2 linked regions of the Ovis aries genome follow. Each later gene encodes a partner of the first gene's protein in a complex. Links are inferred from orthologs where the notes say so. Each region holds a gene or a part of one and is shown on either strand. Other genes may lie near its edges.

What was found.
Region 2: the proteins of PER2 (region 1) and CRY2 are in contact, whole or in part, in a crystal structure (PDB 4U8H), measured with the Mus musculus proteins. The link is inferred for Ovis aries from reciprocal best matches to the Homo sapiens genes PER2 and CRY2. Residues at the interface, in NP_035196.2 of Mus musculus: Tyr1132, Leu1134, Gln1135, Asp1136, Pro1137, Trp1139, Leu1140, Met1142, Ala1143, Asn1144, Thr1145, Ile1149, Met1150, Met1151, Thr1152, Tyr1153, Gln1154, Leu1155, Arg1158, Asp1159, Leu1160, Val1163, Leu1164, Asp1167, Gln1168, Lys1170, Leu1171, Leu1174, Gln1175, Ser1177; in NP_034093.1 of Mus musculus: Trp58, Ser63, Ser64, Val65, Lys163, Leu166, Thr167, Lys169, Arg170, Glu215, Leu216, Gly217, Phe218, Asn330, Pro331, Ile332, Cys333, Ile334, Gln335, Ile336, Pro337, Asp339, Asn341, Pro342, Glu343, Leu345, Ala346, Lys347, Ala349, Glu350.

The regions. Positions count from the first base shown.
Region 1 is NC_056054.1:3,068,418-3,072,220, reverse strand, and holds part of PER2 (period circadian protein homolog 2), read right to left. Parts: coding exon 3,630-3,803; intron 442-3,629; coding exon 1-441. UniProt on the Homo sapiens protein: Transcriptional repressor which forms a core component of the circadian clock.
Region 2 is NC_056068.1:74,829,751-74,833,553, forward strand, and holds part of CRY2 (cryptochrome-2), read left to right. Parts: intron 1-259; coding exon 260-400; intron 401-1,659; coding exon 1,660-1,971; intron 1,972-2,173; coding exon 2,174-2,325; intron 2,326-2,441; coding exon 2,442-2,644; intron 2,645-2,929; coding exon 2,930-3,022; intron 3,023-3,803. UniProt on the Homo sapiens protein: Transcriptional repressor which forms a core component of the circadian clock.

The sequences.
Region 1 (3,803 bases):
CTGGGGTCACCGGGGAGAAGGAGAAGCCAGGCAAGACCAATGCCACGACGGGGGCCACGGGGCCGGCGAACGGCGGGGGCTGGGCCCTGAGCGCCTGGTGGGCGTCCATGGGCACCGCCAGGTTGGTGTGGGCAGCCCCGGACCCTGTGGCCACGGTCCCTGGTGCGGGCACTATTCCTGGGGCTGGAAACAAGGGCAGGGAGTACGCTGGCACTGGGTCAGGGAAGGGCACCGCTGGGCAGCTGGACTGTGACGTGTCCGACAGGGACCAGGCCGTGGTGTTCAGGCCGACCAGTGGGGGCCGCTGGGGCGCCAGCCCCCCAGACCCAGTGCTGCCCGAGGAGTCGCGAGGCTTGACACGCTTGGACTTCAGCTTTCGGTTTTTCCCGTTTTTTTTCCAAGAGGAGTCTATTCCAGAGGTGTTTCTTAGTCTGGGAGCAGCTAAAATAATAGCGATACAATGAGAGTTAAAATCCTTCAAGCTAGGATTCAGCAGTATGTGAACCAAGAATTTCCAAATATAAAAGCTGGGTTTAGAAAAGGCAGAGGAACCAGAAACCAAATTGCCAACATTCACTGGATCATAGAGAAGGCAAGGAAATTCCAGAAAAACATCCGCTTCACTGACTTTACTAAAACTTTGACTGTGTGAATCACAACAAACTGGAAAATTCTTAAAGACTTCGGAATACCAGATCACCTGACCTGCCTCCTGAGAAACCTGTATGCAGGTGAAGAAGCAACAGTTCGAACAGGACATGAACAACAGACTGGTTCCAAACTGGGAAGGAGGACATCAAGGCTGTATATTGTCACCCTGCTTATTTAACTTATAGGCAGAGTACATCATGAGAAACGCTGGGCTGGAAGAAGCAGAAGCTGGAATCGAGACTGCCGGGAGAATTATCAATAACCTCAGATACGCAGATGACACCACCCTTATGGCAGAAAGTGAAGAAGAACTAAAGAGCCTCTTGATGAAAGTGAAAGAGGAGAGTAAAAAAGTGGGCTTAGGATTGGGAACTCATGTACACCTGTGGTGGATTCATGTCAATGTATGGCAAAACCAATACAGTATTGCAAAGTAAAAAAATTAAATTAAATTAAATTAAGAAAAAGAGAAAACTAAGATCATGGCATAAGGTCCCATCACTTCATGGCAAATAGATGGGGAAACAATGGAAACAGTGAGAGACTTTATTTTTTTGGACTCCAAAATCACTGCAGATGGTGACTACAGCCATGAAATTAAAAGATGCTTGCTTCCTGGAAGAAAAGCTATGACCAACCTAGACAGCATATTAAAAAGCAGAGACATTACTTGGCCAACAAAGGTCAGTCTAGTCAAAGCTATGGTTTTTCCAGTAGTCATGTACGGATGTGAGAGTTGGACTATAAAGAAAGCTGAGTGCCAAAAAATTGACACTTTTGAACTGTGGTGTTGGAGAAGACTCTTGAGAGTCCCTTGGACTGCAAGGAGATCCAACCAGTCCATCCTAAGGAGATCAGTCCTGAGTGTTCATTGGAAGGATGGATGTTGAAGCTGAAACTCCAATACTTTGGCCACCTGATGCGAAAAGCTGACTCATTTGAAAAGACCCTGATGCTGGGAAAGATTGAAGGTGGGAGGAGAAGGGGACGACAGAGGATGAGATGGTTGGATGGCATCACCAACTTGATGAACATGGGTTTGGGTGAACCCTGGGAATTGGTGATGGACAGGAAGGCCTAGCGTGCTGCAGTTCATGGAGTCACAAAGAATCGGACAAGAGTGAGGGACTGAAATGAACTGAAAGGCAGAACCACTGATCTCATCTAACCTCATATCTCAACTTTACAAGCTTTTAAAAAGAGATGTTTTTAAGACATCATTTTTAAGAAGAGATGTTTCCTGGTTCATCTGCCAAAGGAGCCTGGGTCCATGCCTGTGGAGTCAAAAGGCTGAAGGCACACAGGTCTTCCTCTGACACAAGACCTGCTGAGAGGGGCCGTCCTCAGGAGGCTGTAGGGACTCAACCTGTGGTGTGGGGGACACAGGGCATGTCCCCCCTCCTCCCCTGGGCACTGGCCGGGACTGGGGGTGCTGTGGGCCAGGGGGTCACACTGAGCCTGGTGGGTGGGGCACAGGCAGTGGGAGGGCCCCAGGAACCTCAGGTTTTCTTCTAATGTCACAGAGGGTAACTTGGGGGCTCTGGCAGCGGGCGTGTGGGGCTGGCCCCTGCCAGCTGTGCCACATACCAGGGCAGATGGGCCGGCCTGGCGCGAACGGCCACGCGGGTGGGGGTTCTGCCGCCAGCCTGTCTGCCTAGTGCTCTTCCTGCAAGAGTCCGTCTCCCGCTGTGACTGGGAGTTGCAGTGCTGGGCTCCGGGTCTGGGCGGGGCTGCTGGGGACAGCTGGGCGGCAGGGGCACTGCACAAGCTGCTGGGCCAACAGGGCTGGCGGGCGCCGGGACTCTGCACCAAGCTGGGGCTGGGGGGCGCCGGGACTCTGCACCAAGCTGGGGCTGGGGGGCGCCGGGACTCTGCACCAAGCTGGGGCTGGGGGGCGCCGGGACTCTGCACCAAGCTGGGGCTGGGGGGCGCCGGGACTCTGCACCAAGCTGGGGCTGGGGGGCGCCGGGACTCTGCACCAAGCTGGGGCTGGGGGCCGCTGGGACTCTGCACCAAGCTGGGGCTGGGGGGCGCCGGGACTCTGCACCAAGCTGGGGCTGGCGGGCGCTGGGACTCTGCACCAAGCTGGGGCTGGGGAGGTGGGGCCCTGGCTTCTGATTTCCAGAGGTTCCCTGTGTGCCTTCAGTAACCCTGGGTCCAGGTAGGAAGGAAGAAAGAAGAGCGGGAATGGCATAATCTTCAAGAGCAGGGCCAGCTTGTCACTCCTGGGACACCCGTCTCGGCACATCTGCCCAGAGGCCAGGGGCGCTGGGCCCTCGCGGTGTGGGCGCCTTGGGCTCGTAGATCTGATCCTTGTTTCGGGGCCTGGAGCCCAGGAGAGAGCTGGCATCTCCAACCAGCTTGGCCCTGACCGCAGGGCCCAAGAAGGCAGTTGGGGGTTGGGAGCCCGGCTCCTGGACCAGACGAGGGGCGAGGAAGCCAGCCTGCTCCACCGCAGCCCCGTGTTGGCTCTTCAGACCCCCCACGCTCTGTCTGGCCCTGGAGTCTGGGCCCCAATGGCAAGGCCAACCCGCCAGGAGGGTGTGCATTCTGGGGAGAAAGGGCGCCCTTTCCTTCTGCAGCATCATCTGGGATCCCTGCTTCCTCAGGAGCCTGACGTCAAATGCTCCTTCCCTGGGTGATGAATTCGCCCCCTTGGTTCTCTGAGGGAGGGAGAGGGGTGGGGCCACCCAGGCAGAGAATGCCTGGCAAGGCAGGAGGACAGTTGCCCGGCCCTGTGCTCCACAGTGGGGGAGGTGGGCCTGTCACCACTGTTTATAGCACGGTTCCCTTGGGAACGCAGGTGACATCCCCAAGAGTGTCACTGCTCAAGCTCCAACAGCATCTTACAAATGCAGGTGTCCTAAACAGGGGGCGCTCACCATCTGAAAGCCTCACGGGACGCAGTAGCGTTAAGAACAAAGTTTAAAAAAAGAACAACAATAAAACCCACTTTTAGTTCAGACGTCATCACTTACTCCTGTTGCTCAAGTGCCCCTTGGGCCTTTCTTGCAGATAATGATGGCAGCGAGACTGGAAAACGTCGAGTTTCCTGATTTCCCGGAACCGCAGCAGGAAGCTCTGCTCCTCCTTCTGGGTGTGGGCGGCCAGCACCTCCTTGGTGAGGCCCAGCTTCCAGAAGGCCTCCTGGT
Region 2 (3,803 bases), on another chromosome or scaffold:
GGACTAAATAACTTACTACAGTCATAGCACAAATTAAACAGAGTCAGGGTGAGAACTTGGGCCCCATTGTTTGGCTGGTGGTGGTTCCATCAGAAATCGCGCCGGCCTGAAGGGGTGGGACGTGCGCAGAACTCTGGTCCTGGCTCCTTGGCTTTCCGGTCTGCGACCTTCAGCAGGTTCCTTAACCACCGGCTGCATCAGGCTCGCTCCTAAGCAGCGTCCCAGCCTGTCCTTCCTCCGTCCTCTCTCTCTGCTGCAGGCCTGGGTTGCCAGCTACGAGAGGCCCCGGATGAACGCCAGCTCCCTGCTGGCCAGCCCCACGGGCCTCAGCCCCTACCTGCGCTTTGGGTGCCTCTCCTGCCGTCTCTTCTACTACCGCCTGTGGGACCTGTACAGGAAGGTGAGGGCCGTCAGCCCGCCCGCGCGCAGCCGACGGACCAGGGTCTTCCGGGCCGGCCAGTCAGCATGCAGGGAGGCCTTCCCTCTGGCTAAAGTGTGGGCACTGTCCAGAGACAGTGAGGAGCAGGCCACATCCGAGAGGTGGCGGAGCCAAGCACAGCACCAACCTCCACTCGAAACCACATCCAGCTTCTCAAGTGGAGCTGGACAGGCCGGCCTCAGGGCGAGACGCCCGGGGTGGCAGAGCTGCCAGCAGCAGGGTGGTGAGGGCTGAGCCCTCAGGGCGGGAGGCAGGACGGGTGAGGCTGGAGCCAGTCCTGAGGTGAGGAGCGCAGTGGCCCGCTACGGGGTGGTGTCCAGACTGTCTCATGGCGCTTGCCCATCAGTGATGAGGAAGTAACCAGAGGGCCAAATGCAGGGCCGGATGGGGCAACGGGCAGAGCACCTTGTGGTAATGTACCTGCCCCCACAAAGAGAGAGGGCCACACCTCCAGCTCCTGAGATTCATCAGGTCGTCCTCACATCTGCGTTGTTTCATGTGTCCTTACGTTTACCAGTATCCCGATTTTGTGGCCTGGGGTAGCTCTGCCACTCGGTGGGTAATCTTGTGATTTTAGGAAAAGTATCATTCCCTTGAGGCTTCCCAGGTGGCACAGTGGTAAAGAATCTGCCTGCCAGGGCAGGAGACACAAGTTCGATGCCTGGATTGGGAAGATCCCCTGGAGGAGAGCATGGCCGCCCACTCCAGTGTGCTTGCCTGGAGAGTCCCAGGGACAGAGGAGGCTGGGGCTACGGTCCGTGGGCTGAAAAGAGCTCGGATGTGATGAGCACATGCATCATTCGCTTGGAGGGTCTTAGTTCCCGCATGGCCCCAGATCCAGGCTTCGGGTATCACGTATTTAACCAAAATCTAGACTGAGCGTTTTTGTGTGTGTGCTGTTGAGAAGACCCCCTTTGACATTTTAGAAAGAGTTACACAGGGGCCCCTGAGGACAGGGGTCGTGACCAGCCTGGGGAGCTCAGTTCCCAGCCCCGAGTCCCACAGCACCATCCCTGCCGCCTGCCGTCTTGGTGCTCAGAGCAGCAGTGGGCACAGCCAGGGCGCGGGGTTCTGGGGGCACCTTCTGCCGTTTCTCCTGGGCGTGGCCCCTCCCCGCGTCGAGGGTGGAGGTGGCAGCTCCGGTCCTCTGTGGGGAGGCCGAGGGGCAGGTGCCAGGGGCGAGGCCCGCGTGTATACCCGTGTGCTGTCCCCGCCCCCAGGTGAAGCGGAACAGCACGCCCCCACTCTCCCTGTTTGGGCAACTTCTGTGGCGAGAGTTCTTTTACACGGCGGCCACCAACAACCCCAGGTTCGACCGCATGGAGGGGAACCCCATCTGCATCCAGATCCCCTGGGATCGCAACCCCGAGGCCCTGGCCAAGTGGGCCGAGGGCAAGACAGGCTTCCCCTGGATCGACGCCATCATGGCCCAGCTGAGGCAGGAGGGCTGGATCCACCACCTGGCCCGGCACGCTGTGGCCTGCTTCCTCACGCGCGGGGACCTCTGGGTCAGCTGGGAGAGCGGGGTCCGGGTGAGTGCTCTCAGCGGGCCGCCCCCGTGGGGGCTGGGGGGTGGGCTGGGGCCCCTGGGTCCAGGAAATTCCCTCCAGATCCTTCTTGGCTTGCCCACAGCAGAAGGCTTTGACACCCTTCCCTGGGGGTCATGTGGTGACTGGGGGAGAACCATGGTCGAGGCCCCCCTGGAGGCTCCTGGTTTCTCCTGCCTGCGTCTAGGTGTTCGATGAGCTGCTCCTGGACGCGGACTTCAGCGTGAACGCCGGCAGCTGGATGTGGCTGTCCTGCAGTGCTTTCTTCCAGCAGTTCTTCCACTGCTACTGCCCGGTGGGCTTTGGCCGCCGCACGGACCCCAGTGGGGACTACATCAGGTGAGGATGCAGAGCAGGCACTCTGACCACTGCAGCCTCCTCCTTGGGTGAGAAACAGTTGGCCTTTGGAGGAGGCTCCCGGCGTGCTGACAGGTCGTCCGGTGGGTGCGTTTCAGGCGATACCTGCCCAAACTGAAAGGGTTCCCCTCCCGGTACATCTATGAGCCCTGGAACGCCCCAGAGTCCATTCAGAAGGCAGCCAAGTGCATCATTGGCGTGGACTACCCCAGGCCCATCGTCAACCACGCCGAGGCCAGCCGGCTCAACATCGAGCGGATGAAGCAAGTTTACCAGCAGCTCTCCCGCTACCGGGGACTCTGTAAGGAGCCACCCCCGCCCCCACATCCCCTCATCCCCAGACAGGGGCAGCACCTCCGGGCTCCTGGGGTGGGATTGGGGATTCCCAGATGTTTGCAGAGGAACACCACCGAGCGCTGCCTTCCAGGCTGTTGACTTGACTTCCTGGGCACAGGCCGCTCAGGCTGGGCTGAATTAGTTGCAGCCAGTGGGGAGAGACAGAACCTAGGACCCCCCTGTCTTGTCCTCACCTGCCCCTTCAGTCCTGTGAGTTTGCATTCCGATTACTCCCCTGCCTCATTCCCAGGTCTGCTGGCATCTGTTCCTTCCTGTGTGGAAGACCTCAGCACCCCAGTGGCAGAGCCCAGCTCAAGCCAGGCAGGGAGCTCAAGCAGTGCGGGTGAGTACAGCTGGCCTCCGGGGGCCTGTGCCCATCCCAGGGGCACTGCAGAGCTACCTCTGCTTCAGTCACAGGGGGCTGAGGACGGAGACCAGAACACTTACGCCCCAGTGGAGCTTGAACTCCCCCCGGGGACACAGATGGTAAAGGAACCGTGCAGGATCACGTCAGATACCAAGTGCTTTGCAGGAAAATCAAGCCGAATGACCTGCTAAGAGAGCGCTGGGGAGGGGGGTGACTTCAGGTGGAGCACCAGGGCCCCACGTAGTGAGCAGAGCCAGCCTTCCTAGAAGAGGGGGAAGAGCATCCCAGGCAAAGGGAGCAGCAAGAAAAGACTCAGAGAAGGAAGCGAGCTGCCCATCCCAGGAACGAGAGGAGGGAGGCCAGTGGGGCTGGCGTGTCCTGAGCGACGAGCTGGAGCAAGACAAGGATGGATAGCCAGAGCAGCACCGTGTAGACTCCGCGTCCACAGGAGGGTTAGCGTTCCCTCGTGTGCAGGGAGAAGGCGCTGACGGGGTCAGCAGGGCAGAGGCGTGACCTCTTTATGTTTTAAAGAGCTCACTCTGCCTGCTGTGTGTATGCGGAGAGCACAGCGTGGGCAGGAGCCCCCGAGGATTGCGGGTGCTTAGGGGCGACGAGTCATCCAGGCAGGAGGTGGCAGGAGTGAGGGGTAGGCAGACTTGCCCCCTTCTTAACCTCTGCCCTTCAGCTCTGGGACAAAGACTGGCAAGCTCATACTGTAGAGAACTACAGAGCTTTTTTAGTTTGCCTGGCCAGGTGG